Pelodiscus sinensis: one gene and its partners. The protein of the gene in region 1 purifies or fractionates together with the protein of each later gene. This does not show direct contact. Links are inferred from orthologs where the notes say so. Each region holds a gene or a part of one and is shown in the gene's direction. Other genes may lie near its edges. The genes, in order: PTPN3, KCTD3, VANGL2 and VANGL1.

Region 1 (7,427 bases):
TAAACAGTGTATTTCCTTGTGATGAATGTGATATGAAGTCTAGCAACCTTAATCCAAGATAATCCTAGGAGTGTAACAATTATAGGCTGTTGGGGTACGTCTACACTAGCCCCCTAGTTCAAAATAAGGAGGCTAATGAGGGCGACTGAAATTGCTAATGAAGCGCGGGATTTAAATATCCCACGCTTGATTAGTATATTCCCGGCCGGTCACCATTTTGGAAACTGACTAGCCCGAAGTAACTGCCCGTGTTTACACACGGCAGAGAAGCACGATTCCGAGATAAACCCCTTAGTTTGAATTAGCAGTTATGGAATGAGGTTTAACTGTTAATTCGAACTAAGGGGTTTATCTCAGAATTGCGCTTCTCTGCCGCGTGTAGACGCGGGCAGTTACTTTGGGCTAGTCAGTTTCCAAAATGGTGACCAGCCAGAATTTGCTAATCAAGCGCAGGATATTTAAATCTCGCACTACATTGGCAATTTCAGTCACCCTCAATAGCCTCCTTAGTTTGAACTAGGGGGCTAGTGTAGACGTATCCTTACTGTGAGGACGGAGAAAAATTCTTGTTCTTAACCTCTGAGGATAATACAGTGGACTTAAAATGCAGCAAGGGAAGTTTAGGTTGGACATCAGGAAAAACGTTCAAATTTTCAGGGTGGTTAAACTTTGGAATAAATTGCTTAGGGAGGTTGTGGAATCTCCATCATTGGAGATTCTTAAGAGGAGGTTAGACAAATACCTAGCAGATAATACTTAGTCCTGTGATTAGTTCAAGGGACTGGAATAGACAATCTCTCAAGGTTCCTTCCAATCCTGTGATCCTATGATTAACAAAGCTGTCTGTGTGGGAGTCTGATGATTATGTGCTGACTGGAGATTATGAAATAGAATCACTGTCTAAGATCTGCTGATGGAACCCAGACAGCAGGCCTTTGATTGCAGAAAGTCTCAACATAGTTGTACAATGATGTAAAAAGCCTGCAATCCTTGCTCAGGGATTGTCAACACAGCTGAAAAGTTAGCAGGACCAACTGGGGCAAGGCAGTATCAGAGTACACAGGGCATACTCTGAATCATAATAAATCTTGGATCACTTGCACCCACAGAGTTTAAAGCTGTCCTCCTGCTCCCTCTAAGTGATGAGTGAGTGTGGAAAAAGGAAAGTAATGTTTCAGGAGGGACCTTGTTTGTGTGTTACACTCAGAAGTGAAAACTGGGCCACATTTCTACCAGAGAAGCAAGTCATTGAACAGGTAACACTGACCTCTAGACATGTACAGTAAAAATCTCTTTCCCACAACTCTACCGGCTGCTGCATCAACTTTTGCACTCCTCCCACTGAGGAATCCCCACTCATAGACACCTGCCTCGATGGATGCAAATTGTACCATCCTCCTTCACCTGCAAAGGTGAATTATATCTCGATAGTCTGTTTTTAAAACTCTTGAATATGGACAGGGTCCTTTTTGAGTAATCACATCAAAATATGACTAAATACAAATAGTTGTATTTTGTTTACTGCTTATTAAATAAAATACATGAAATAAAATTCAGCAGCTGGAAAGCACGGCTTATTTGATCTGGACTATATCTATTCAAGACTATCATAAATGGGAAAATAACTCCTTAAGTGTTTGTTTTTCAGTGAAACAGACAATATCTGGGTCTGGAGAATCGGCAGCATGAAGAATGAGACACTTTATTTATCCAGGTGAGATAAAGACAGGAAATTGCCATATTATGTCATTTTCCTCCCAGCAACCTCCAGTGGACTTGCTGTTTCCATGAGGACTCATTGTTCCTAGAGGTGACAAGTGATTTAGCTTGTTTGACAACGTTCCATGCTGAGATAAGAAATTGGATATTTGCCAAATTACCCAGTATCTTTTTTGCATTGTTATGATAAGGTCACATTCCATTACCAATTTCTTTTTTTTTTTAACAGAGCACTTTATATATATGGTATTTCAGAGGTTGTCTGATTCATCACAATGTTTTGCAAGTGACTAATTAAAACACGTGGTTCCTTCATGTCTTCTTTCATCTACAGATTTCAAAGTAGTTTATAGAGAAAGAAAGCTATTATTTTCCCTCTTCTATAGCTAAGCATACAGGCATGGAATGATGAAGGAACTTGCCCAAGGTGACAGAGCAAATTAGAAGCAGAGTCAGGAACAAAACTCAGGTCTCCTGGTTTCCAGTCACCTGCTAACCATTAGACTGAACAGCTTTACTCGCAACATGGATAATCATGCAGTAGTGACAGAGATTGGAGGCTGTTATTGGCGATTGCTTGCAGTTAGAAAATCAGCCTAGCAGACTGATTGAAAAATTAAATAAATACAGGTTTCAGAGGGGTAGCCATGTTAGTCTGTTTAATAAAAAACAAGGAGTCTGGTGGCACTTCAAAAACTAACAGATTTATTAGGATATTAGGGCATAAGCTTTTGTGAGATGCAATTCAGTTCCACAGATGTTGAAGAGAAAAGAAAAGAGGAAGGGATAAATACAGGCCTCTTAGCAGTCAATTCTGGATCCTGCTCTGACCCTTCTATGACTCTCTGACAAAGGAAAGAGGCCATAAATGGAATGGAGGGCACCCTATGTGGCTGTTGTTTGCATGGGGCATATCACAGGGACGGACTGGCCGGGCAGGATACCGGGAATTTCCCAGTATGCCGTTGTCTGGTGGGCCATTGTGTCCACACATCGTTGCCCCTCACTCTGAGCGGCTCTGTGTCCGTGCTGTATGCAGCATGCAGAGCCCGACCCACTGCCTGCGCCGCGTGCCGGACATGACGTAGGGGGCGGGGTTTGAGGGGCACACAGGGGTGATGTCATGGGGAAGGCTGTTCTCAACCCATTTCCTGGGCCTATTTTGATTGCCAGTACGCATACCATCATAGGAAGGAACATGGGAAGGGTTTGGAGGGAGTAGTAGCTGAAGCTTTCATTGTCGTAAAGCTAGGCTACAGAGCAAAGGCAGCATAGGTCAAGGCTGCTGTAAGGTAAAGCAGCCCTTGAGGTTCTTCTAACTTGTGCCAGGATCCATTTTGTTGCCAAGGTGGCGTAAAAACACCTTTAGTATCTCCAGTCTTCCCTAGTTCCCTTGGACTGCGTAGTGCCCACGTGTGCCTGGCACTTCACAGACGTATGATGTTATTATCTCAATATGATCATTTTATTAATGCATGTGAGGATTTGCTACTGAATAACCTCTACTAAAAGACCAGTCATGTTGTATCACTTGAAGTTTAAATGGGAGTAGGGTGCTTCCATGCACACAATAACAAACCAGTCCTGATTTAAAAGTGAAAAATCACCAATTATTCTACATCAGCAAAATAACCTAAGTCCCCCAAGCTACTATTGTATCAGGAGAAAAGAGACATAATAGCTATGTCTACACTTGCGGCTTCATGCGCAAGAACAACTGTTCTTGCACAATAATCCACAGTGCATCCACACTGCCCACCCGCTCCTGAGCAAGAAGATTTACAGTATGGCGTGGTAAGAGATGGCTTCTTGCGCAAGAGGTATGCTCTTTTCTTACAAGTGTAAGCTCTCTTGCGCAAGAGCTCTTGCCAAGACAGCTTCCACTTATAAGAAAAGAGCGTAGCTCTTGCGCAAGAAGCCAAGTGTAGACGCTCTCTTGTGCAAGAAAGCTGCTTTAACTATAGAATTTTATTGCGCAAGAACTCCTGCCACGCATCCACACTGCCATGGGCGCTCTTGCGCAAAAGCACATCTCACACATGGCAGTGTGGACGTGTTCTTGTGTAGGACTCCTTGCACAAGAACCCTTGCGCAAGAAGTTCTTGCGCAAGGAGCCACCAGGGTAGACATAGCCAATGTGTATAGCAAAGCAGAGAAATACCAAACATTAAGAATGACTAAAAGTGATTAAATAATTGGATAGATTTTTAATTTGTCTGCATTTTTTATTTGTACCCAAGCATGACCAAAAACATACACCCAAACTGCACATATAGCAAGGCTGTTCTCCACTGACATATACAAAGCAACACTAATGAGAGTACCCAAAAACGTACACAAAAGAAAGAGGAACCCTTATTGTACTACACTGATTGGTAAAGTTTATTCACTATATAATCTTTATTTTAAATTCTGTCCTGTGTTTTTCACGAATACATTAATTAATTTTAAACTAATTTACCTTTAAAGTACACAGGCTGTTGGATTCTGTGGATTTTGGAACTTCAAATGAAGTATTAAGAAACTACTCCCTTTAACAACACAGTGCATAGACATAGAGCATTTTTTTAAGGGTGGACATTTGTTGCAATGAAACAGTTAAAACCTCTCCTGCAACATTAGATTTGTGTACCTGGACCTGTTTTACAGGTTTCTCAGGAGGGAAAATAACAATTTAATGTGACAGCACACAGGAGCTAGGCGTAAGAGAGAAGATCAGAAGTTTGCATAAGTGAGCTTCCCTTTTCAAAGTGCTGCTATTCAAGGGATCTTTCAAACACCCCTAAAGGACCATTATGGTGGAGCAGGAGATGTTATCAAAATGTTTTTGTCCTCAAGAAAAGTGTAAGTGACCACGTTTGATTTTTATATAAGAATCAAAAACATTACCTGACAGATCAAATGAGAAAAAAAGCAATTAGGTATGGGAGAGGAAAAGGAGAAGTCTTAAAACTATAAAGAATGAAGCAATTAACTTTATATTTCTAGACTTGCAATATAATCAAGGTTTTTACAGCACAAAAGAGAAGGACTCTTGTGTGAAGTATCTTGAAAGGTTTTTTTATTTAATGTTGGATTTATTGCTTGTATTAGCAAAGAACTGTATTGTAGTGTCTGCCTCAGTCGAGAGGACTTGAACAATGAGTTTAAATATCTTGAGTGACAGACTGAAGTGCTGTGAAAGCATTTTGCCACAACAGTGTGTTTTTTATCTTGCAGTGTCTTTTTTTTTTTTTGACACTGTGAAAACTTATTTTTTTTCTGAGTTATTGGCAAGCTTTCTATCAGCTTGTCCAAATGTCAGCTGAGAATTACAATGCAGTGACAGGAGTCTTAAATTGATCCAAGAAAATAACTTCCAGAGCTTCTATACTAATTTCTAATATTTCCTTTAATTGTGGTAAATTAAACAACTAGTGAATGATAAAAAGTCATCATGAATTTAGGGTTTTTTTTAATGTTAAGAAATCAACTCTCTTCCAGGCAATAGCAAATAGAACTTTAGGCACTACATGAACTAACCATGTAGCAGGAACCTGAAAGCTTAGTTGGCTGGAAACTAATGTATGTGGGTTGAATAACTTGGAGCTGGAGCTGTTTGAATCAATTCATCAGGGTGGAACTGGTGTGCTGATGAATCAGTTGAACACCCTGCCACAGTGAAGGACTGATGCAGAGACTGAAGGCATGCTACGCACTTTCAAATTGCTAGGTTTGTTTGGTTTGGAAGCTTAAGTAGGATGACTCCAGTTAACATTTTCTTCTAGGGCTATGTCTACACAGCAACATTATTTCAAAATAACATAGTCTGTGTCTACACAGCCGAAAGTTATTTTGACATAATGCTGAAATACTGTCAAGCTGCAGGACATCTTACTTTGACTCCTGTAACCCTCATTTTATGAGGAGTAAGGGAAGTCGGAGGAAGAGTGCTCTATTTCAAAATAAGTGTTATGTAGACAGCACCAAAACTCGAAATAAGCTATTTTGAAATAAGCTATGCAATTGACATAGCTCAATTTGCGTAGCTTATTTCGAGTTAAGCCCTGCTGTGTAGACACACCCTTGGAGAAGGATCAGCTTGGTTCTGAAAATAGAAATGTAGCTTGTTTCATGTTCTTTGTTTCAAGTTCCTGAAAGATTTTTTTTCTTTACACTGATTAAATAAGAAGAGAATCGGATAAGGTTGTCATTAAAAAGGAGAATCCTCCATGATAATTTTGTACTTTTGTCTTGTTCGTGACTGTTGGCAGAATCTTTCTGAACCTATTACTGAAGGTTTTATAGATCCCAAAAGGAAAGACCTAAGACCAGATCCTCAGCCCTTCTGCATCACTCAGCTCAAAGAGACTGTAAATTGGCTTAACTAGCCTCCTGAAGATAATGCTTGCATACGGAAGGTTTAGGGAGACCCAATAGCTATTCTCCTGCACTCAGGCCTCTGTGTTTGGAATGTGGTGGTTCACAAGGAGAGGTGGTCAGAGCACAGTTGTCCTCAACTGACAAGCTGCCCCTTTGGGGCCATAGGTAGCAGGAAGCAACTTAGAATGAACAGGGGATACTCTGAGGACTGAACCAATCCTTGGATCTCCCTGGCAAGCCTCTAGAATGCGGACTTAACGAGGCAGCATTAAGTCTTCTTTGCACCCATATCAGTCTTATACCAGGCTCAGCTTGACAGGCAAAGAAGCAGTCCCTACAAGGCATTGATGTAAAATGAATGCAATGGGTATTTTCAGGCTGCCCCAAATTATATTTAGAGTTGCTGTATTGTGGCTATAAAACTATGATTCTTGATCTTTTTTCTGTATATTGTACCTTTTAAGTTTATATGAAATCAATGTTCAGGAAGCAATGACTGTCTTGTTTCTGCCACAGTCTGTGCAGTACAAATTATTTCGAAATAGTTTTTGTGTATAGAGGCGTTATTTTGAATTAACTATTAGACATACCCTCAGAGAGTGAGGGGGAGACATTCCTGCCGGGATGGGGGGCAGAGGCTGAATGGCTGACCAGTGCATATGAGCAGCTGGACACCACTGCCATTTGATGAGCACATCAAGGGGCTGTATTATTCAGGGAAGCCTTGGGGGAGAGTTTCAGCCAAGGTGTGGCTACAGCAGCCACAAGTGCAGCTGAGAGAGGCTTCTGGAGGCTAATTATTTTGAATTAGCAGAACCAGATCATTCACACTAACACTATTGTGAAATAACAATTTCGAAATAAGCGTTATTTCCCAAGGAAAATAGGAGTATATATATTGAAATAATCAGCCCGTTATTTCGAAATAACAGGCGGGTAGCGTGAATGCTGCGCTTGTTATTTCAAAATACTAACTTGGAAGATCTATGATTTAATCGATATGGATAGTATCGCTAATGGTGCAGATCTCAACTTTTCCACGCCATCCTGTTTTGTGTGGTTCTTGTCCATATTCTTCCATGAATCTTCCATAAAGGACCCACACAACGTGCTGGAGGCCTTCCTCTTGTTCTTTTTATGTCTCGTGGATATCAGTGGAGTATGCGTGCTACCCAACTGTTGTCTCTCGGTCTCGCTACATGGCCAGCCCATCTCCTTTTCTGATTGTACATAACTTAGATATCATTGACATTACTTCTTGCACACAAATTGTCGATAGTAATATGCTATAGCCTATTTATACCACTATGTGTCTTTCCATTGCTCTTTGGGTGGTTTGCAGCTTT
Region 2 (7,906 bases), on another chromosome or scaffold:
GTGTATGTTGTGAGAGAACATAAAACAATCATTGAATAAAATATGCTGGAGAAATCATCATGGTCTTCCATAGGAATATCTATAGAATAGAGATTTGTAAGCAATAATATTGATGAGAGTACCTTTTTTCAAGTTTTATCTTTCCTCCTCCCAGCTATGTCCAATGCTATGTCCAAATATGTGGTGATCATGTAAATGGACTGTTTCTGGAGCAGTGAAAGATAATGCCACTGAGATTCAAGACAATTAAAGGCTATTTTCAGATATTTTCCTGCCCTCTCTTCAAAATAACTAAGAACAATCTGACCATTTATTCTTAGAAGTAATATTCCTAGTTTCTTATAGTTTATAAGAATCATACCCCCCTCAAAAACAGAATAGAGAAATGTAAGGAGTCTTTACAATACATAAGGACACTGTAAAAATCATACATCATAATCACACAAAGTATTATTTTGATATGTTCAGTGCCTTGTGTAATCTATGCAAGTTAGGGTCAAATTCTGTGATAAAGCTCCCTAGCTTCTTCAACACATAGCAGCAGCTTCACAGAAATTTTACAATAAAGGGTTAAATATTAAGGAAAAATACAATACAATATTCTTTTGTGTTATTTATTGTTGGTTCCATGGTGGCTCTTAGTCACAGCTCTGCATTGGAGGGAGAGAGCCTCACAGTTCCCAAAGGAATGTTAAAATATATTCTGCTTCAAGGGGGATTATGTTTCATAGAGGACACATCAGACTTACTGAATTTGTACAGCAGAGAGTCTCAAGAAGAGATAATTTCCCTGGGATCTCAGGAATTTGGAGGACTAACTTGAAACCCTATCTTTGATGTAGGAAGAACCTTACCGGGTAACTGGTTACCGGGTAACTGGTTGACAGGTGCCCAGCGCAACTGAAGCAGCCCCCTGTTTGTGGCATGGTGGGGAAGGCCCTGCCGGCTGGGCCCACGTGCTGCCCAGAGAGTGGTTGCTCCAGCCTGACCAGGCCCATCGCTCTGCAACACGAGCAGGGAGCTTTTCTAGCTGCCCCTTGCCTATGTTACAATGTTATGGTTAACCAGTTAAACATATAGTTTAACTGGTTAACATTTTAAATTGGATTTTACATCCGTATAGAAATGTACAAAATAACTTTAAAAAAAGACCAGCATTTTTTTTTTCAAATGTAATAGTCTTAGGTGAAACTTGTACCAATTTTCAGGCAAAGCAGTGACATTTAAGTTAACTTTTGAAGTTGACATTTTCCCCTTTCAATAAGAAGTTTGAATAGTTCTTAGCAATAATGACTGTAGTAAATTAATGGTACGTTTATGCAAATGTTAGTGTTTCCCACAAAATCTCTGCATGTGGTACACTTGTGGAAAGTTTCTCTGTGTATGCACTGAAATAGTCATTAACTTCAATCTGTGGTAACCTCAGAACTATAGCTGTGGTTTTCCTCTGACAGTAGACTGATGCAAAGTTAAATCTTTTCACAGATGTTTAGAAAATCTTAACTACTGATTATGTAACAAAAGGCAGTGGAACTGTAGTCCCCTCCTGAATCTAAAACTTCTAAGTAGACTACTCCTCACAACAGTTTTCTTTGGGGATACCCCTTTAAAATGAAAGCATTTCACCACTATTAATAAAAAATGGTTTTGCAGATGCTAGGATTGTGACTTCTATGGGGATAACATGTGTGGCTCTCTTAAGAGGATGCCAGAGTTGTGAAGCACCTCCCTACTACCTGCTATTACTGTGAAGCAGTCTCATCTGTGTCTGCTGAGGGTCAGCTCCGTAAAACCAACCGCCTCTGGCAACATAAGCACTGCCTTCCAGGCCTCAGCGGACCTACTTCTTTATGTGGAGACTAGTGAGAAGGCACAGAGTATATCCTCAAAGCGCTCCCTGAAGTATTCAGTGGTTAAGGGCTGCATTGTTGCTATCTTCAAGAGGTCACTGTACACTCAAGCTGGTTTGATTCAATTGAGGATCAACTCTTTTATAATATCACAGCACTGAGGTATATTTCTAGTGAAAACAATTGTAAGTTTATTATCACAAGCTAAGTTAAGAGATAGTGAGTACACATTGTTGAAACACATTATTATATATAAAACAAAATATAATATATTTCCTAGATTATAAACTTAATTTTTCAGGCTAACCCTCTCTCTCAAGTAATTTATCTCACCTAAACAAATCTCACAGTATCTTCTACCAACATAGCTGTCATCTCTTTCACAAAGAAAAAAAAACCTTTTTGCTTATCAGTGAAAAATAAAAAGATATCCTTTTGCCTTTTCCTCATATGTCCAAAATTCATTGTTGGTCCTAGAGTTAGGATGACACCACCCTTGCCCACAAGTTTATTCTCTGGTGCGCTGACTTCATGTTAATTTAATATGCAACTAGACCTTCTATTGTGTTGGCTTACAATACTCATTTTACATGTAAACTAATGATGCTAGAACTAGAGAGAAGGGGTTGCTGAACCCCTTGACTGAATAATAACAAAAACCAAATATATGGTTTCCATCAGCAACCCCCCACTATAAAAATTAGTTCAACACATCTAATGTGAACCACAGAAGACAGTAGACAAAGTAGACAGTACATCCCTTTGACAAAAACCTATATGTAAACCCTGCTTTGAGTAAGACTTTTAAAGACTTCTTTTCTGGCATATATTAATAACTCCTTACACAGTGTCAGGCAATACGTTTTACAATTATCTTAATGACCAGTATGATCTTGGTTTGCATTTAAGATCTCACATCACTTTCTTGATAAATACTATGAAAGCAGTGTGCTAGGAGTACTGAGTATGTTAGGCCTGATAGGTGGTGTTATACAATATCGAATCCTTTACCAGTTAGTACCACTGGGCCTGTGTGTGGCAGGGTAAAAATCATAGTAAATGTTTTGTTTGAGGAACTTCCTGGGGATCGTGAGGATGGCATCCACTCCATAATTAGCCCCTCTCTGTAAATACTTTTTCAGCATACAGATTGAAATTGCAGTTACTACCCCTCTTCATACCACTGAATCACGTGAGCGAAGATTCAATAGCTCTGACACTCGCCCACCTCTGGTGGTTCTCTCTATATGGACTAATTGGAAACTAACAATTAGCCCCCTTGTACAACATAAAATGACTGCAGAGGTTCCACTGTAAGGCTGTGACCCTGATGGCCACTCTGCCCTTGCAGAATGACAATATTGGGTTTAAATAGTGCTGGGTAACTGGCACAAGACCTTTGTATCTTGTCAAATTGTCACCTACTTGAAAAAAGCCCAGATTTATAAATTCTTACTCTTTGAAAACAGTAAAACCTTGCTTGGCTGTAAGACTTGGTCACAAAGCTGGCAGCATACACTCACTCCTTCAAACCACAATATTATGACTTTCTCTCCTAAACTATATAGTAATTTATTTCTTTGTCAAAATTCCATTACATGCTGTAGTAGGCTGATTTCGTTTTCAAATTGCATTGTGGTTTCAGAGTTGCAATATATGTTCTGCCAACCTGAGATGTGCATCTCTTTATGACCAGCATGTTTCATTGTACAAAGGACAATACACATTATCCTTTAACGCTGGGGCAATCACGATACACCCCACGGGGTCAGATCCAGCCTAGCAAGACTTTTAATAAGTCAATGGCCTGCTTCAATGGGACCCTTGAGCATGGAGCAGCTCCATATCGCTCCAGGACAGGCATAAGGATCTTACGCAAAATGGGGGTTTTGCACAAACCCTCCTCCCCCACGTCCACACTGCTTCTTTTTGCGCAAAAACCGCTTATGCAAAAAGAAACGGCAGAAAATATACTAATGAGATTGTGACTTATGCTAATGAGTTCCTCATTAGCATATTTTCTGCTGGAAGATCTTGCAGTGAAGACATAGTCTCTCTGTACTTACATGGCCTTCAGTGGTCCCACATAATGAAAAGTATGGTAAACAAAAATCCCTCTATAGCTTTCCCTTTTGGAGAAGCTGAAGAGGGAGCAGAATTTACCTTTTCCCTCCCCTTTTCCCTTGACTCCCAAATGAAAGTACAATGGAGATGGGAAACCAAGTCAAACAACAGAGTTATGTATGTAGTTCTGAATCCTGAAGTCTGTGATCAGTCTTATCTTGTGCAGGAGTGAGTTGTATAGTCTAGGTCCACCTCCTGGGAGATTCATGTCTTTCGGACCCATAAGTCTCCCTCAATGGTTAATGAGGTTCTGATGGACTCAAGCCTTCGATGTCTGTTTAATGAGGTGATCTGTTTGGTAGCTAATGGCTTTTAATTTCATCCCACTGGCCTTAATGCTTAATAATAATAAGTAATGTAAGCATGTTTCCCTAGCTGTAGTAGCTTTCTGTAGCAGGGTTCAGTAGCTTGGTCATGTTCAAATTTTGTCTCAGATTTTATGAGTAGAAAAAAAAAGTTGTCATACAGAATTCAGACTTTGGATTTCCATCTTTGCAGTCTTGATATCATGTTCCCTGTGGATATAAAGGAGTGAGGAAAAAGAAATGCAATCATAATGTTAATGGCCTCTCAAAAATTGAGCATAGTGAATTGAGCATTTTTTAAAGAATGTGACTGTTATTAATAATTCTATGCATTAAGTAAATAGAACTTCTTAGCTTGACAATCTTCCTCCCCCTCCTTGTCCTGTGCACATTTTTCTTCGGTTTTCAGTAATCTGACTAAAACCCTTGAAAAAGGCCCTACTCCACCATTGCTGTAGCCCAGTTTTACGCTGCTGTAACTCCACTGCAACAGCAGTGAACCACGGGGAAACTGCACGGAAGAATTCCTTGTGGGGTGTGTGGGGATGGGCCCTGCTCCCCTGGAGGGGGAGGGTTGCATTCCCCTACTGAGGACTGGCGTGTGTGTGTCTGTATATTCCCGCGCGGGGTGGGCGTGTCTAGCTAGCCCCCTTTGAAGGGCTGCGTGAGCGAACTCCCCGAGACAAGAGGCGGTGGTGGGCTTCGAACCCCCTCCCCTCCGGTCCGTTTCGCGAAGAACTCAGAGTATTTTGTCCCGTGTCGAGCCCCCTCCTCCAGGTGCTGCGCGTTGCCATGGCACTTTCCGCCTGGCTCCGGCCAGGGAGAGAGGAGGCGTCGCGGCCTTTGCTGGCCTGAGGCCGAGGGGCCGCAGCTTCTCGGGGCCTGGTTCCTTCCGTGCTGGCCCGGCCCCGGGCACCCCGCAGCACGTCCCCCCGGCTCCAGCTGCCGCCTCCTGCTGCTTCCCTGGGCTCCGGGAGGTGGCGGCGGGCGCTGCCCAGAGCTGCAGGCGGCGGCGGCGGCGGGGAAGATGGCGGGGAACGGTGGGGGCTTCGCCGGCGCGGGAAGCGGGGAGATCATCCAGCTCAACGTCGGGGGCACCAGGTGAGCTGGAGCGCAGCTCGGGATAGGCAATATCGGGAGGGGGCGCAGCGGGGATGGGGGAGCGAGGGGTCCGAGCTGGGGCTGGGAAGCCCAAGCAATGGGCTGGAGGGAGGGAGGGAGGCCTGGGAATGGGCCGGAGCCGGGGATGGGGAGGGAGAAAGAAGCCCCAGTGAAGCCCCAGGACCTGGGGGAGGTGAGCGGGGCTTGAGGAGGGGAAGACCCATCAATGGGGAGCCGAGGACCAGAGAGAGGGGGATGGTAGTGGGAGCTGGGCGTGGGGCAGAGGAGTTAATGGGGAGAAGAGCCCTGGTTTGGGATTCAAGGCTAGGAGGATCGTGCATCTCCCTCAGGTGGCCCAAGGGCAGGATTTGTTTTTATTTAATATCACATAACCTGGTCCACCTGGATCTTGTTGCATTATTCCATAATCTGGTCTGTCTGTGTCTGTCTTGTCCTGAATTCCTGCTGATAGGGCTTGTCCTGAAGCTGCTGAGCGCTGGCTCAACCCAGTTGTCATTGCATTTTGGTCTTGTTGGCATCATGCTGCTAAAGGAACTCATTGTAGGGACTACACGGCTACAGACTAACACGGCTACATTTCTATCACTATTTTCATTGTAGGGATGAATGTCTATTGTGCTGTATTGCAGGTAGCTTTGTGTCTGTGATGGAGCTGTTTGGGTGGTAAAGAAAATTTGAGCCCATGTAACCTGTTGCAAAGGAGTTAAACTCAGGACCATCCAGGAGAAAAGTGGATGTTGTAGCACTACGTTCTCTTTCAATTCCAGTCAATGTCTAACGCTTTTAAGTGTTTTAAAATGGTTACTGTAATGTGTGTCTCACTTCTATGTCTGTCGTTGGCATTTAGCTCTTTTGGAATAAAACATATTTAAGGAGTTGGAATGTTCTAGTCAGAGTTCTGTATAATGAAGTGTTGGAGAATGAAATTAATAATTAATTTTGATGTCTGATTATTTTTAAGAATGCTTAATTTCTCTTTCTTTTTCTTGCGCAAAATTTTGGGGACTAAGTATTTTTCCAATGTGTACATATTTAATTTTTTTACAGTTGTAGGAAATTATGAGGTAGGGTCACGCTATAGCTTTTTAAAGACAATAGAAGTTGAGATCTAAAAAAATATTTTTTTATAACATTGAAGCACAAATTGTTGCTTTCACATGCAAAATAAACAAAGCAAATATCCTTAAATGGTTGTCATGATGAGTGCTGAAGCGGCGTTTTTCTTATTTTGCCTATTTGTATATTTTGATTAAATGGAAATATTTGTATTGGTTTCTGTGTGTAGTGAAATTAAACATTTTTCTGATTAAAATCTAATCATTCCAAGCTTATGTATACTGTACTACAAGGCCTTGGATTCTCTAGCAATCTTAGCCTGGAACATATATCTGCCTCAGATTTATTAAAAATTGAAGTTTTTATGAAATATGAAAAGTAAATCTAAGTATAGTTTTTTTTTATATTGAGTTTGGCTTATTTTTTGCTGCTCTTCTGCTTTCAATATATAATACCAGGAAGCATTCTGTATTAAAGTGCATAACTTAATTGTACATTGTGAATGCAGAGGGAGAGGGATGGATCTGGCCTGGAAGTTTTTAAAGATTTGTTAGAGAACAATTAGAGCAATTTTAGGATTATGTGTTTAATATATTAACTGAATGTTTTTGCTAAAATATTAAGCAGCAAAATAGTCGACATTATCCTTAGAATGCAACCTGAAACAAAAGAGAGAACAATTTATTGAAACAAATATACTTCATACCTCATGGAGCAATAGTTTCTAGCTGTCTGGAGATTCACCAAGACAACATTGCATTAGTTTCTGCTTACTTTGTGTTTTCGAGGTTATCTTTATAGCCATGTGGTTTAGAAACATAACTTGCTAAAATTTAAAGTTGGTATTGTATACTGTAGTTATACAGCAAACATCCTCTGTAGCAGATGTTGCAAAATCTTAGACTACATAGGGCTCTGATTATACTATATCTCTGATTCACCAAAATTTCTGCCTAAGTGATAACTTAAAATTAGTACATGTTAAACCTCTAAAATCTGGGACTCTCTCGTCTGGCAACATCTGTGGTCCAGCAAGACCATGGATATTGCTGGATCAGAGAGCCCCTGTTGGCTAGGTTCAGGGGCTGGGCTGGCGTTGGGAAGTGCAGCCTTGGCGGCAGCAGGGTTGGCATGGTGGACAGCAGAGTCCCTGTCTGGGACTGGTTGCAGGGAGTGATGCAGGCAGTGGGGCCAGTGCTTGGGACTGTAGCCCTGGCTGAGCGAGCAGAGCAGGGAACACAGCCCCAGCCGAGCTGGCACATCAGGAAATGCAGCCTTACCTGCGTTGGAGGCAGTGGAGCCAGCAGTGCAGTGAGGAGTGCAGCCCCGGCCGGCAGTGGGGCCTGGCAACCCCAGCATGGTGAAGAACAAAGCCCCATCCCTATACAACAGTGTAGCCCCAGCAGGCTGGCAGAGCTGACATATGTTTTGCTCTCCCCTCAAAATCCA
Region 3 (7,066 bases), on another chromosome or scaffold:
CCAGCTGGGACTTAAACACCTCTAGGGATGGAGATTCCACCCCCGCCCTAGGTAGTGCATTAGCAGGTGCCCTCAGCTTTTCTCTCCCATTGCTGGGAGAGGCTGGAACTGGAGGATCGGGCCATTTCCCGCCCCCTCCCTCACCTCCCACAGAGCAGACCCGATGCCTCCGGGGGCACCACCCACAGCTCACACTCCTGCCTCATTCCCACAACACTCCCTGCTGGAAGAAACCACAACTGGTGTCTCGCCCCATTCCACAGCCAAGGCTCCCATTCTGTGCACTACAGCAACCCCTGCAGGGAGAGGCTGGGTTCTGGCATAATTATCCATGCCTCTCCAGCCTGATATCCCTTTATGTGCCACTGGGGCGAGACTGGTGCCTAGGATCAGCCTGGAGAATTTATTCCAAACCTCCCGGGCACTCTGACTTTGTCTTTTCATGGCTAGAATAGAGGTTTCCCTGAGATGCAGCGTAATTCCCCTGGCTGCACCATCCCTCATTGTCCTGCCCTTGGTTCATGAAAGAAGAGGTGGCCACTGCCTGAGATTTTGTGATGAGTTTATAAACAGTGAACGTGACTTTTCCTCCCTTCTAGACCGTCTGTGCCACCTTCTCGGAGTTCTCCTGTCTCCTTCCTCTCATTATGTCTGCTAATCTCCTTAGAGGGCTGCGCAATTTGTCACTCCAGGTGCCCTGGGGCAACAGGGAGGAAGGAAAATGTAAGTATGGTTAGGGGACAAGTAACGAGGCCTTGAAGCAGCTAGCTACAGCTTTCCATTCAGCCTCATATGGATCACAGTTGGATGACACAATGGCCTGCATAGTGTGAGGTAATGGGGTCTCAGACCAAGCACAATTTTTGTGTCTCTAACAACAATGGAAGATGTATGAAGGGTGAAGGGAAACCTCTGAATGTAACAACCCCAATCAGTGTTCCCGCCATGTGTGGAATGAATTCTGTTCTGTGCACCGGGCATGTGTGGATGAGTGCCGCATGTGGCACCGGGCATGTGTGGATGCGTGCCGCATGTGGCACCGGGCATGTGTGGATGAGTGCCGCATGTGGCACCGGGCATGTGTGGATGCGTGCCGCATGTGGCACTGGGCATGTGTGGATGAGTGCCGCATGTGGCACTGGGCATGTGTGGATGAGTGCCGCATGTGGCACTGGGCATGTGTGGATGTGTGCCACCCAGGCTGCAGGTTGTGGGTGCTCTGCTGATCAGCTGGGTCGCATTTGAATCTTTCCTGGGTGGCCACCCAAGCATTCACAAAGTGCTTACAGAGAACACTGGCCCCAAACTTGGCTGGGCAGTAGTGTGTATATATATGAGGTGATGGGGACTAGTGGCTAGAGCACAGCTCTGAGGCTCAGAAGAGCTGGATTCTCTTCCCAGCACTATCATTGGCTAACTGAGGAATTTGGGCAAGTTGCTTTACTTCCACTGATACCTCAGTTTCCCCACTTAATGAAGACAACACTACAGCCCTGTCCAGTGCTGTGAGATCTCCCAAAGATTAGCACTAAATGCCATCAGCCTCTGCTGCTTGAGCTTTTGCATACTCATTTATACCAGAGCCGAGTGGCTGTGGAAGAGGTCCCCTCTGATATGGGGGTATTTTGCCCACAGACGCTTTTCCGCAAAAGCACTTTTTGTGGAAAAGTGTCCGTGCCAATCTAGACGCGCTTTTCCGCAAAAAAGCCCCGATCGCCATTTTCGCGATCGGGGCTTTTTTGCGGAAAACAGTAGTGTGCTGTTTACACTGGCCCTCTTGCGCAAATGATTTCCACAAAAAAAGCCGCGAAAATGGCGATTGGGGCTTTTTTGCAGAAAACTACATCTAGATTGGCCACAGACACTTTTCTGCAAAAAGTGCTTTTGCGGAAAAGCATCCTGCCAATCTAGATGCGATTTTTTCTGAAAATGCTTTTAACGGAAAACTTTTCTGTTAAAAGCATTTCCGGAAAATCATGCCAGTGTAGACATAGCTGAGCAGAATAGTATTTCCACAAGAAGCACTGATTTCTTACAGTAGGAAGTCAGTGCTTTTGCGGAAATTCAAACAGCCAATGTAGACAGCTGGCAAGTTTTTCTGGAAAAACTGGCCAGTCTAGACACAGCCTCTGTGAGTAGTGCAACCTGGGCAAAAGCTGCCAGGAGGAAGGCCTGAGAAAGACTGGAAGTGTGAAGTTACCCAGTGAAGATGTTAGGAGTCAGCAAGTGCAGCTTAACTGGTTTATTTATTATTGCCATAAATAGCACAGCGGTGGCAAGAGACCCCTGCCGAGATCAGGCGCTGTTATGTCGGCAGCCAGCGGCCAACAATTTGGAGGTTTGGTTAAAAAACTGGCTTGTTTTATAGAACTGTACAATTTTCTGCTTTCAGGTTTTCATTCAAAACAAACTTCCCACCAACCACACTTCTGTGGACAGCTACAATGTAAATGGGGGGGGGGATCCTAAAATCTCCCCATTGAAATCAATGGCCATATGGCCATTGCCCCCCATTGAGAACTATGGAGAATCCCCCTTGAGATCAATGATCCTGGCTCCTCATTGAGAACTGTGGAGAAACCCTCTTGAGATCAATGATCCTGGCCCCTCATTGAGAACTGTGGAGAATCCCCCCTGAGATCAATGGTTCTGGCCCCTCATTGAGAACTGTGGAGAATCCCCCTTGAGATCAATGGTCCTGGCCCCTCATTAAGAACTGTGGAGAATCCCCCTTGAGATCAATGGCCATTGCCCCTCATTGAGAACTGTGGAGAATCCCCCCTGAGATCAATGGTCCTGGCCCCTCATTGAGAACTGTGGAGAAACCCCCTTGAGATCAATGGTCCTGGCCCCTCATTAAGAACTGTGGAGAATCCCCCTTGAGATCAATGGTCCTGGCCCCTCATTGAGAACTGTGGAGAAACCCCCTTGAGATCAATGGTCCTGGCCCCTCATTGAGAACTGTGGAGAAACCCCCTTGAGATCAATGGTCCTGGCCCCTCATTGAGAACTGTGGAGAAACCCCCTTGAGATCAATGGTCCTGGCCCCTCATTAAGAACTGTGGAGAATCCCCCTTGAGATCAATGGTCCTGGCCCCTCATTGAGAACTGTGGAGAAACCCCCTTGAGATCAATGGTCCTGGCCCCTTATTAAGAACTGTGGAGAAACCCCCTTGAGATCAATGGTCCTGGCCCCTCATTAAGAACTGTGGAGAATCCCCCTTGAGATCAATGGTCCTGGCCCCTCATTAAGAACTGTGGAGAATCCCCCTTGAGATCAATGGTCCTGGCCCTTCAGTGAGAACTGTGGGAGCTGTAAGGTTCTAAACACCATGGGGTAAATACAGCTGCCCTGTTTTTTTGCCCAGTCATTTACACCGGTGCAACCCCTCTGGTCCGGGGCTGCTCTACGCCCTCTTGGCCCTTCCTGCTGCAAAAGGGGGCCGGAAGTTCAGGGTAAGGCAGGGGTGCATCGGAGCCCAATTCATGGCGCTAAGTGCCTGAAGGGCTGGGCCAATCAGAGAGGAGGGAAGTACCCATGGGCCAGTCTGCGTGGCTCTGTGTGCGGGACAGGGGCCACTGACGTCACCCAGCCTTAGTAAAAAGTTGCGGGGAGGGGGAGCTTAATTTCATCCTCAGTCGGCGGGGCGGAGCGGGGCGGGCTCTGTGGTTTTCTCCCGTCTCCTTCACGTAACAAGAGAAAAATGCCAGGGACTGGGCTAGGCTGGGCATCTAGTTCCCCTCCCGCTCCCGCTTGCGGGGGGAGGGAAATCACAGGAAAGCCTCCCCCCCCTAAAATCTGAAGGGTTGGCCGCCTCCCCCCCCGCAGGAATCTTCCAAAGAAAGAGCCCGGCAGACACTGCGCTCCCCCCCCCCGCTCGCCGCTCCTTCCCCCCCTTAGCACCGAGTCCCAGTAAAACAAAAGGGGGGGGGGGGACTCTGGGAACTTCATCCCGCAGACAATGGGGAGCGGGGGGCGGGGGAGCGGCTCCTGGAACAGCCGAGGAGGGGTCACACGGCGCGAGGGGACACACACACACACACACACACACACACACACGCGCGCGCGCGGGCGGGCGCAGGACGCTGCCGTTCCCAGGCGCTTTGCTTCCCGGCCGGGTTCCGCGATTCCCGGGCGGGCGGGCGGCCCCGGGCGCGACGCCTCCTGCCGGGCGGCTGCTGCGGGCCGAGGGCGAGCGCCGGCCCCATGCCGGCTGGCGGGGCGCGGGGCGCGGACAAAGGGGCCGGGCGGAGCCGCGGGGGAGCCCGCCGGGGCCCCGGGCTGTAGCCGAGAGCGACGCGGATCGCGGGGCGCTGCCTGGTGAGTCGGGGCGGGACCCGGCAAAGCGCCGGCCCCGAGCGGGCGCAGGGAGCAGCCGCCGGCGGGGGGCAGGTTGGGGGGGTCCCCGGCGGGGGGCAGGTTGGGGGGGTCCCCGGGGGGGGGGAGGTTGGGGGGTCCCCGGCGGGGGGGGCAGGTTGGGGGGATCCCCGGCGGGGGGCAGGTTGGGGGGATCCCCGGCGGGGAGCAGGTTGGGGGGGTCCCCGGCGCGGGGCAATTTTCCATTCACGCGGGGGGGGGGGGCAGTGGGCCTGGTGTGACCTGTTGGCTCGGCTCGGCTCGGCTCCCCCTTCCCTGCACGCGCAGGCCTCAGAGCCGGGGGCTTTCCTGGGGCCGGGGCCAGGTGGGGCTGCTTGCTGCGGGGGAGGCGCAGATATTTGTGGAAGGCCCGACCCGGAGCCGAGGAAAGGGGGGGCCGCTATTGATTTCCCACCTCTGTTTAACTGTGAGGGGTGGGGGTGGGTTCTGCACGGCTCATCCCCACGCCCTGGCCTTTGCAGATGGAGCAGTTCCAGGAGGGGGCTGTCCGCAGGCAGGGTCCCTTTCACACGAGCCAGACCACCCGGCAGGGAGAGCCAGATCCCCAATGCGCAGCGGGGGAGGCTGGGATCAAAGGGGGCCCAGACACACGGGGGAGAAGGGGATGCCTGGTCTGTATTCCAACAAGTCTCCCCTCCTCCCCTTTTTTACCTTTGGTTTAACAATCATGTGAAATTCATGGTGCCAATGTAAGTGCCTGCCAGGTGGAAAAACAAGGAAGCATTTAGACCCTCCCAATACAGAAAAGCTGGGTATGTTTTAAGGTTTCTAGGTTATCCGTGCACAGCTGCACTAGTGCAGACCTCCGTGTAAACAGGGGTGCACCCCCCAGGCAGGAGAAAGCAGGGAGAGCTGTCAGTGGTGTAAATCACCTTTTTACACCCATGCTGTTGTATCTGCACTAGGGATTTGTATCTGTGTAACTACATCCATGCACAAACTCCCAAGTCTTGATAAGACCCGAATTCCTCATGGGGCCGAGGGGAATGTCTCAGGGCTGGTGCAAATTCATGTTCCTTGGCGGGGGGGAGACACACACACACACCCCCTAATATCCTCTCTTGTCATTGCACAGTTTGTGCAAATGAAAGGTGGCAATTTGGCCTGGCAACTGGGTTAAATTATCCTGACTTGGGGCAGGCTGGGGGCGTTTCTCATGCTTCGTATCTGGCCCCCTCGCCCCCTGTGATGATCCCTTGTTTTGAGGAATTAGCACAAGTAAGTGTTGGTGGGGCTGCGGGCAAAGATGTGAATGTGTGTTACTCCCAGGCGGATGCGCCAGCCTTGCTTGCCCTGATCTGAGTGAGCGAGGGGCCGGATTCAGAGCTTGTTTACACCAGTCTGACCTCTGGCACAGTGGAGCGGCGACTGGAGTTACTCCTGGATTACTCCAGATCTGGCTTCAGGTCTCGGCCTGGGTTGGGACCTTGTCTCCCGATGGAAGGGGGCGAGAGTCCATTTCCCCTCAGGCCTTGGAATCACTGACGAAGAGGTTTTGAAAAAAATAGTTTCCCAGGGCCCCTGGGGCGGGCGCTTAATCACAGCAGCTCTGGATTGTGTTGGGACTATCTGGGCTCGGAGGCAGACAGCGTCTGGTCCCTGGTCTCGCTTCATGCCAGCCCGACTCCCCTGGAGTTACTGCACCGAATCCCGCTGATGTAATTAGCAGATGACTTCATTTCCAGCCGGAGATGGCTCCTTTCCTGGCTGGCCTGGGTGCTGAGTTTGGGCTCCGGCCTTTCCGGGGTGGCTGTCGAGGGCTAAGGGGATGTCAGAGCCTTTGAGCAAACTCCACTCCGCAGTGGCTTGTCGATTTCAAGGCTGGGGGGGAGGGCTGGCCTGACCCTCCCAGGCCCGGGGACCCCAGGAGTGACTCTGAGATTTGACCTGGCGTGGGGCTGAGCTTGCTCTGTGGGGGTCAGCGACACCGCATGGCCCGGGCGGCCTTTGTGCTCAAGGCCCTTTGGTGCAAATGAGCTGGCAGTGAAGCGAAGCGGAACATGGATCCGTGTCCCAGGGGGCCGGGTTTGTGCAGACGAGATGACCAGCCCTTGCAGTGGGGGCTGGGACCGAGGGGGGCGGCTGCTGCACCCGCTGGCTTGAAGGCGTTTCCAGCATAGGCTGGGTTTGCAGTTGGCTTCGGCGGCTCCCCGCACCCCCACTATGCGCTTTGTCTCAAAGCTGGCGATGACCGTGGCTGAGTGAGGGGCGCGCCAAGTGCGCCTTCAATGTGCACCAAAAGACACTGTGTGACTCAGTTTCCCTTCCTGTCCTTTACCAGGCTTGTCTGTTTTTGGACGTAAGCTCTTCAGGGCAGGCAGCGTCGGTTGCCTCTAGCTCCCAGTGCCTGTAGCTCCCACTGCCGGGCTCCTCGTGGGGAGACACAAAGCACGAGCGGACGGGACCGTGGAGAGGGGCGGGGCTTTGCCACGGGCAGCTCTGTGCCGGGTGAATGGCTGGAGCGGAGGAGGGCAAATAGGCCACCGTGTCTCTAAGCCTGGTTGCCTGGGGATCCTGCAGGCTGTTGTGCTGCTTCCTTAGGGCCGGACCCTGCACAGGGATCCCGGGGAGCTGGGCCCCAGTGACAGGCTCCATGCAGGGCTGGGGCCAAGGCCTGGCTAGCCGCTCTCCCGCAAAGGGCGCCGGTGCTCGGGTACCATCCTCCTCTCCCTCTGCACCGCTGCAGCC
Region 4 (7,940 bases), on another chromosome or scaffold:
AACTTCTCTATTCTTTCATTTATTATATCTGCCTTCACTTCCCCTCTAAACCAGGTAATTTTTTAAAACTAGTACAACTTTCTTCTTACATACATTGGTGGTCAATGACACACAGAGCAGAACTCTAAGGGGCTCTCCTTTGTGCAATAGGATCAAACTGGGAAATTCCAGCCCACTTGTCCCTTTGTTAAGCTTGCCCCAGATGCAAACCCCAGCATAGAAAAATCATTGTTCCACTGGAGTTGGTCAGTATTTGAGTCCCTCACTCAATGGCCCCATAATGCTCTGTCATTGTCCTTGCACAAATCATCATTCCAGGGCAGAGCAACTGTCAGGAATGCAATTCAATATGATGCCCTCAGGCAAGTTTAGACATGTGTTTGGCACATCATATAAAATGGAGTTAATAATCTGATATTCCATTTCTAGTACACCCTGGTCATATGCCACTGCAAAGTGGATATTGTACTGCTAAATACTAAGGGTACTGCCAAATCAGAGTGAAATGAGTTTCATCTAATTCTTAATCAGCTTTGTAACAGTCTGTTGTAACCCAAAATAAGATATAGATCAAATATAATAAATCAACTATGTATTATTACTAGGGAGGTAACCTAGTTACAGATGATGTGGGAAAAGCTGAAGTACTCAATGCTTTCTTTGCCTCTGTCTTCACAGACAAGGTCAGCTCCCAGACTACTGCACTAGGCAATGCAGTATGGGAAGGAGGTGGGCAGCCCTCAGTGGAGAAAGAACAGGTTAAGAACTATTTAGAAAAGCTAGACATACACAAATCCATGGGTCCAGATTTAATACATCCAAGTGTACTGAAGAAGTTGACAAATGTCATTTCAGAGCCTTTGGCTATTATCTTTGAAACTCATGGAGATCGGAAGAGATCCCAGATGATTGGGAAAAGGCAAATATAGTGCCTATCTTTAAAAGAGGGAAGAAGGACAATCCAGGGAACTACAGACCAGTCAGCCTTACCTCTGTCCCTAGAAAAATCATGGAGGGGATCCTCAAGGAATCTATTCTGAAGCACTTGGAAGAGGGGAAAGTGATCAGGAATAGTCAACATGAATTCACCAAGGACAAGTCATGCCTGACCAATCTGATTAGCTTCTACGATGAGGTAACTGGCTTTGTGGATATGGGAAAGTCAGTGGATGTGATATACCTTGACTTTAGCAAAGCTTTTGATATGGTCTTCCACAATATTCTTGCCAGCAAGTTAAGGAAGTATGGATTGGATACATGGACTGTAAAATTGATAGAAAGCTGGCTAGACTGTCGAACCCAACGGGTAGTGATTAACGGCTCAATGTCAGGTTGGCAGCTGGTTTCTAGTGGAGTGCCCCAAGGATTGGTTCTAGGGCCAGTTTTATTCAACATCTTTATTAATGACCTGGATGAGGGGTGGATTTGTATCCTAAGCAAGTTTGTAGATGACATTAAGCTAGGGAGAGAGGTAGATACATTGGAAGGCAGGGATAGGGTCCAGAGTGACCTAGACAGATTAGAGGATTGTGCCAAAAGAAATCTGATGAGGTTCAACAAGAACAAGTGTAGAGTCCTGCACTTGGGACAGAAGAATCCCAAGCATAGTTACAGGCTGGGGACCACCGAACGTTTAAGTAGCAGTTTGGCAGAAAAGGACCTGGGGATTACAGTGGATGAGAAGCTGGATACGAGTCAACAGTGTGCCCTTGTAGCCAAGAAGGCCAATGGAATATTAGGTTGCATTAGAAGGAGCATTACCAGCAGATCTAGGGAAGTGATTATTCCCCTTTATTCAGCTCTGGTGAGGCCACATCTGGAGTATTGTGTCCAGTTGTGGGCCCCCCGCTATAGAAAGGATGTGGTCTCATTGGAGAGGGTCTAGTGGAGGGCAACCAAAATGATTTGGGGGCTGGAGCACATGACCTATGAGGAGAGGCTGAGGGATTTGGGCTTATTTAGTCTGCAGAAGAGATGAGTGAGGGGGGATTTGATAGCAGCCTTCAACTTCCTGAAGGGAGGTTCCACAGAGGATGGAGAGAGGCTGTTCTCAGTAGTGAGGGTTGGCAGAACAAGGAGCAATGATCTCAAGTTACAGTGGGGGAGGACTAGGTTGGATATTGTGAAATAGTTTTTCCTTAGGAGGGTGGTGAAGCACTGGAATGGGTCCCTAGTGAGGTGGTGGAATATCCATCCCTAGAGGTTTTTAAGTCTCCACTTGACAAAGCCCTGGCTGGGTTGATTTAGCTGGGATTGGTCCTGCTTTGGGCAGGGGGCTGGACTTGATGACCTCCTGAGGTCTCTCTCAGATCTATGGCTGTGTCTAGACTGGCAAGTTTTTCTGCAAAATCATCTGCTTTTGTGGAAAAACTTGGCAGCTGTCTACACTGGCCACTTGAATTTCCGCAAAAGCACACACGATCTCATGTAAGATTGTCAGTGCTTTTACGGAAATACTATGCGGCTCCTGTTTGGGCAAAAGCCTTTTTCTGAAAAACTTTTGCGCAAAAGGGCCAGTGTAGACAGCAGAGATTTCTTTTCCCGCAAAAAAGCCCCGATCGCGAAAATGGCGATCGGGGCTTTTTTGCGGAAAAGTGCGTCTAGATTGGCCACGGACGCTTTTCCGCAAAAAGTGCTTTTGCGGAAAAGTGTCCTGCCAATCTAGACGCGCTTTTCCGAAAATGCTTTTAACGGAAAACTTTTCCGTTAAAAGCATTTCCGGAAAATCATGCCAGTGTAGACGTAGCCTCTGATTCTATATATTTCAGATACAACCTGTGGCATTACTCAGGGAAGAGGAGGACAAAAAGGGATGCATATAATCTACCATCCCCCAAATAACATCACAATAATCTTGTGCCCTGTGTTAACATATGACCATGTAGTCTATGCTCTAAAAAATTATTAAAGTGAAAGTATGGCTACAGCACCAGAACTGCGAGAAAACTCTCCCAACACTGTGTAAATCACTTAAATGAGGAGAGTAGCTAACAGTGCTGGGAGCTCAGCCTGTTTACTTGTGCTCAGTAGGGTGTTTTTTCACACCCCTGAGGGACAAAGATTTAGAGAAGTGCCAGTGTAGACATGAGTAGCATATCGTCTTACTTTAAATATAGTCTTATTTTAAATGACAGAATATTTACTAGTAGTTAAAGCACACAGTAGGAAGCCAGGAGATATCGATTCTATTGCTTGCTCTGCCATTGAAAATTCTAGGCTATGTCTACACTGCAGGCTTCTTGCTCAAGAATTTTTTGCACAAGAGTTCTTGCGCAAAAAGGTCTTGCGCGAGAGCGCATCCACACTGCCATGTGCTTTTGCGCAAGAGCATCCATGGCAGTGTGTATGTTCTCTTGCGCAAGAAAGCTCTGATGGCCATTTTAGCCATAGGAGTTTCTGGTGCAAGAAACTCCTGGTTTTGTCCACACTGCCTTCTTGCGCAAGAGCTCTTTTGCAAGAGGGCTTATTCCTTGTGGGGAGAGGAATAACTCTTGCGCAAGAAGCCTTCTCTTCTGATGCTTTACTGTAAATTTACTTGTGTAAGATCACGCATGCAGTGTAGATGCTCTGCAAGTTTTTGCACAAGAACAGCTGTTCTTGCACAAAAAGCCTGCAGTGTAGACGTAGCCCTACAGTCTAAATAAGACAAGACAAAAGGGGGAAACGGAGGCACAGAGCGGTAAAGTGACTTAGATCACAGAGGTCAGTGGCAAAGCCAGGAATATAACACAAGTCTCCTGACTCCCTGTTTAGTGTCCTGTCCACTAGACCACAATGGCTACCCACCAGACTAGGAAGAAGAAGCTAGACAAGGCAAGCAGGGAGAGAGCTCTGCAACTGCAGGGCTTATTTCTTGTCCTTGGTCACTTCCCTCACCCAGAGTTATTCTGTGCAGCCTCTATTGATTTATTGGATTCCTTTAAAGAGCACTGGGTGCTGACTGGACTACAGGTCACTGCAGCCTCCTGGCATGTGTGTCCATAGTGATTAATTGAGCCCTGGGTGGAGAGGGCTGATCTTGTAAGAGGGAATATTGCAAGAGTACTTGAAATGGATGCAATAGAGTGGAGGTGCAAGAGGTTGAGATGGGAGTGAGAGGATTTAGTGTGGGAACTGGGAAGGACTGGTCCTCAAAAAGGTGGGTGGGTGGGGAGGTGTGTGTAGGAGCCGGGTGCTGAATACATGGTGGCAGTGGTGAACGTAACTTCACATTTCTTTTAGGCACTGTCCTACTACAAGCTCGGTCCCTGCCAGCTCTTTCAGTAGCTCCCTGCTGGCTTTTGCCCCAGCTCTTGCCACTGTTAGGCTATGTCTACACTTGCGGCTTCTTGCGCAAGAAAACGTCCACGCTGCCACATGTGCGCTGTGCTTTTGCACAAGAGTGCCCATGGCAGTGTGGACGCTCGCTTGCGCAAGAAAGTTCCAACAGCCATTTTAGCCATAGGGTTTTCTTGCACAAGAAATCCCTGCCGAGTGTCGACACTGCCCTCTTCCGCAAGAGGGCTTACACCTGTTAAAAAAGAGCGTCGCTCTTGCGCAAGAAGCCCTCTCTTACCACGCCGGACTGTACATTTCCTTGTGCAAGAGCGGACTGGCAGTGTAGACGCGCTGCAGATTTTTGGAGTGTAGACATAGCCTTAGAGCGGAGCACTCATGTACTTACACGGCTGGAGGTTGGGATCCCTGCGGGGAGCTTGCAGTAGGTCCCAGTGGGAGAGCGACGAGCGGGGGGGGAGGAGAGGCAGGAGGCTGCGGGGGTGCCAGGTGGCGGCCTCAGCACTGGAGGTGCTTCGGGGAGTGTTGTTGTGGGGGGTGCTGGAGCGGGGTGGGGGTGTCCTTGGCCGCTCACAGCAGATGGGGGGGGGGGGGGGTCTTGCAGGGGGCGGTCCCTGCAGGCGGGGCGGGCTGCAGCGGGCGGGGCGGCGCCGGGCACAGGAAGCGGAAAGCGGCGGGGCTAGCGACTGCAGCGGGGCTGGCGCCGGGAGCAGCATGGAGCGGCCGCGAGAGGTGGGTGCGGGCGGCCCGGCTCCCCCTGCGGCTTCCCCGGGGCCCCACCCTGCACGCGCCCCCCTCCCCTGCCGCCGCCCTGCACGCGCCCCCGGGGCTGCCCCGCCGAGCCGCTCCCTGCGGGGTCCTGCTGCGGCGGCTCGCGCCCCGCTCCCCACGCGCGGGGCAGCATCCCCGGGCACGGAGGCCCTGCCCCCCCCCGCAGTCCCGCACCCCCCAGCCGGGCCTCTTCTGCCCCGCCACGGGCGTGCGCTCTGCCCCCTCTCCCAGGGGCGCCGGCCGGCATGGGCATGGCTCTGGGCTGCGTGCGAGCTCGAGCCTGTGTCTGGTGGCCCCGGGGGCTTCACTCTGGCAGGAGTCTCTCTACCTCCGTTGAATCGGAGTGGGGGGGGACAGGCGCGGGGAGGGGGGGGGCTTGCAAGTCCTAGCTCCCAGCGAGTGCGCTTGTTAGTTCCAGCTCCTGGCTAGTAGGTGCCTGATCCCCGCCCCTTTTGGGCACCCCGCGCACCTCTCCCCCCCCCCCCCCACAGCCTCCTGATTACTGCATGGGTTGCCCAAGCCTCTGTTTTCTTGTTCGTCTGCCTCTGCTGCTCAGAGCGTTCCCATGTGTCAGCATGCATCAGATGAGCGTCTTGTCGTTTGGCACGGCTGCCCAGAGTCCTGGATAAAAGCAATGTGCAGAACTGGGCTCTCGCTAACTTCAGACTATGTGCCGCGGCCCAGGCCCACTGGGGCTTGCCAGCAGACCTGAAAAGACTACAAGATTGCCAGGGAAAGCTTCCCACTCGTGGGAATACATTTGTAAAGCCCCGTGTGGGAAGCAAAGTAATAATGGATTAATAAACAAGTGAATTAAAGCTGAGTTCAGTGCTCCTCAAATATATCTAGTTCCCTGGATGATGTCCATTGAAGTTGTTTAAATTCCAAGTCCTGCGTGTGGGCAACTGTAGGTGTGTGTATAAGACACAATTTGCAAGTAAAGCATAACGTGATTTAGTTATACAGAAGTTGGTTTGATCAGGTGGTCTACTGTGACAATTCATGACTACACAGGCCTGTGTGGTTGCCTGTTCTTAGACCATGGCGATTTAATAACCTTTAGGGAACAGAAATAAGTCTTAACACCCTTCTGCTTCAAAAGCATAGGCCTGCATCTGGGCTGCAGAGGACTGGCACTCCTGTAGTTTTTAGCAACATAGGGTGTGATTGTGTCCCTGCAGAGGACAAAGTTACTACTTTTGTCAGTTTGTTATATCAGTTGTGAACTTTGAATGACCGGAAAAAAAAAAAAGAGAGAGAGAGAATTAATTCCATTGTTTAGAATGTTTACTTAATGGTTCGAAATAACATTCTTGCTCCAAAGGCTGGGCTCTTTAGCTACGTGTTTCCTGAAGATGCCAGTGTCAAGGTATCAGCCCATCTAAGGAGGCCCAACTAACAATTGTACTGAGTGCTAGAATATCAGTTGGGGGAATAGTTTTGATTAGTGGGAGATTTTTTTTTTTTTTTTTTTTTTGCTGTTCGGCTTAGTTATTCTTGCCTCAAAGTTGCTGTGTATTTAACCTTCTAAGAATTTGATTTTAAACAGGCTTGCCTTTTTTCCCCTTTTTGTGGTTTGAATATATAACTGGCTGTGAAGATGGGACCAGTACTGGTCCTACAGGAATTGATTATCTATCTATTTTTAAGATGAACAAATCAGAATTACAGAAAACCTCCCGTTTACAAAAACAAAACAAAAAAACAAAAACAAAACCCCATTTACAAAAAAAAAAAAAAAAAAAACGCCTCCCATTTACCAAAAAATTTTGCAAGTCAAAATTCTGGAATGCTTTCCAGCACACGTTCAGCCACACAGAGAGGTAGCTAACGGCCAATGGCTATCCGCCAGGAACATGAAAGCTATGCAGATACAGAGACTACCTCTAAATTAGTATTCTGCTGCTAAATTGCCATGTTTGCTACTGTTCTTTCACCTCTGCCATTGGTGGGAAGGTTAGTGTAGTCAGGGCTCCAGATAGTGACCAGTATTCTAAGCACCATAACCTCCGACACTGCTCAGAGCATGTTTGCATGAAATAAATTGTCAGAATGCTAGCAGCTGCTAGTGCCTTGTTGATTTAGTTCTCCCAAAAGAAGAGGAAAGGGCTGACAGGGTACTACTGTCAAAGTAATATGTTTGGGAAATAATTCCTTCCTTTCACTTCAGGTTTGCTGTCCCATGGAGATGATTAGAGGGATTTCACACTTCTTTTTGGTGTAAATCCTACCCTTCCTCCATGGTTTTTAAGGCATTACAAAGCCCAGTTCTTTCCCCCAAAAGGATGGGGGAGCTCCTGCAAGAGATCCCAGGTTGTGGAGCCCAACTAGATTGCTCTGTAGGGATTTGAGTTTGGGATTGTAGTTCCACTGACTTCCATCCCCTCCCTTGAAGTGTAAGCAGTGCAAAGGGCCCTACAGGGTAGGGCAGCTCCCCGAAGAGTACAAACAGACCTCTCAATTGTTTTCTAGAGTCTCAGCTTTTATTTGGAAGAACCCCCAAAAGTCTAGCTGTTAGAGAACTTTGAAAACATGACCTTAATATTGCCAATGCAGATTAGTATACCTGCATTTGCCAGGGGCCTGAAACAATGGTTCCGAGATTGAACTGCCCTGTTTGTTTTAATGAACACAAACTCGGAGACCAAGATGCTTTAAATGACAAGTGTTCACTATGTCACTGCTCATGAAAGCATAGCCTTCACAATAGGATATAACACCAGAGTTTCTTAAAGTGTTGGTTGTTGTGGGGGGTCCCCTTCCAAGGGGCCCACAAAAGAGTAGAGGCATGGGGGGCATAGAGGATGTAAAAACTAAGAGGTACAGGCTCAACTTCCAAAAATTTGGAGAAGGCTGCTGTAGCCTTAGAGCTGGAGGAGGAGTCACAAGGAAGC

The links.
Region 2: the proteins of PTPN3 (region 1) and KCTD3 purify together in Homo sapiens (affinity purification with mass spectrometry; 4 studies listed by BioGRID and IntAct, with this or other methods). This does not show direct contact. The link is inferred for Pelodiscus sinensis from reciprocal best matches to the Homo sapiens genes PTPN3 and KCTD3.
Region 3: the proteins of PTPN3 (region 1) and VANGL2 purify together in Homo sapiens (affinity purification with mass spectrometry; 3 studies listed by BioGRID and IntAct, with this or other methods). This does not show direct contact. The link is inferred for Pelodiscus sinensis from reciprocal best matches to the Homo sapiens genes PTPN3 and VANGL2.
Region 4: the proteins of PTPN3 (region 1) and VANGL1 purify together in Homo sapiens (affinity purification with mass spectrometry; 4 studies listed by BioGRID and IntAct, with this or other methods). This does not show direct contact. The link is inferred for Pelodiscus sinensis from reciprocal best matches to the Homo sapiens genes PTPN3 and VANGL1.

The regions. Positions count from the first base shown.
Region 1 is NC_134712.1:148,659,390-148,666,816, reverse strand, and holds the start of PTPN3 (tyrosine-protein phosphatase non-receptor type 3), read left to right. Parts: upstream 1-4,411; 5' UTR 4,412-4,514; coding exon 4,515-4,563; intron 4,564-7,427.
Region 2 is NC_134713.1:149,721,792-149,729,697, forward strand, and holds the start of KCTD3 (BTB/POZ domain-containing protein KCTD3), read left to right. Parts: upstream 1-4,887; 5' UTR 4,888-5,306; coding exon 5,307-5,380; intron 5,381-7,906. UniProt on the Homo sapiens protein: Accessory subunit of potassium/sodium hyperpolarization-activated cyclic nucleotide-gated channel 3 (HCN3) up-regulating its cell-surface expression and current density without affecting its voltage dependence and kinetics.
Region 3 is NC_134734.1:25,162,867-25,169,932, forward strand, and holds the start of VANGL2 (vang-like protein 2), read left to right. Parts: upstream 1-4,049; 5' UTR 4,050-4,321; intron 4,322-7,066. UniProt on the Homo sapiens protein: Involved in the control of early morphogenesis and patterning of both axial midline structures and the development of neural plate. Plays a role in the regulation of planar cell polarity, particularly in the orientation of stereociliary bundles in the cochlea.
Region 4 is NC_134711.1:143,780,707-143,788,646, reverse strand, and holds the start of VANGL1 (vang-like protein 1), read left to right. Parts: upstream 1-4,924; 5' UTR 4,925-5,007; intron 5,008-7,940.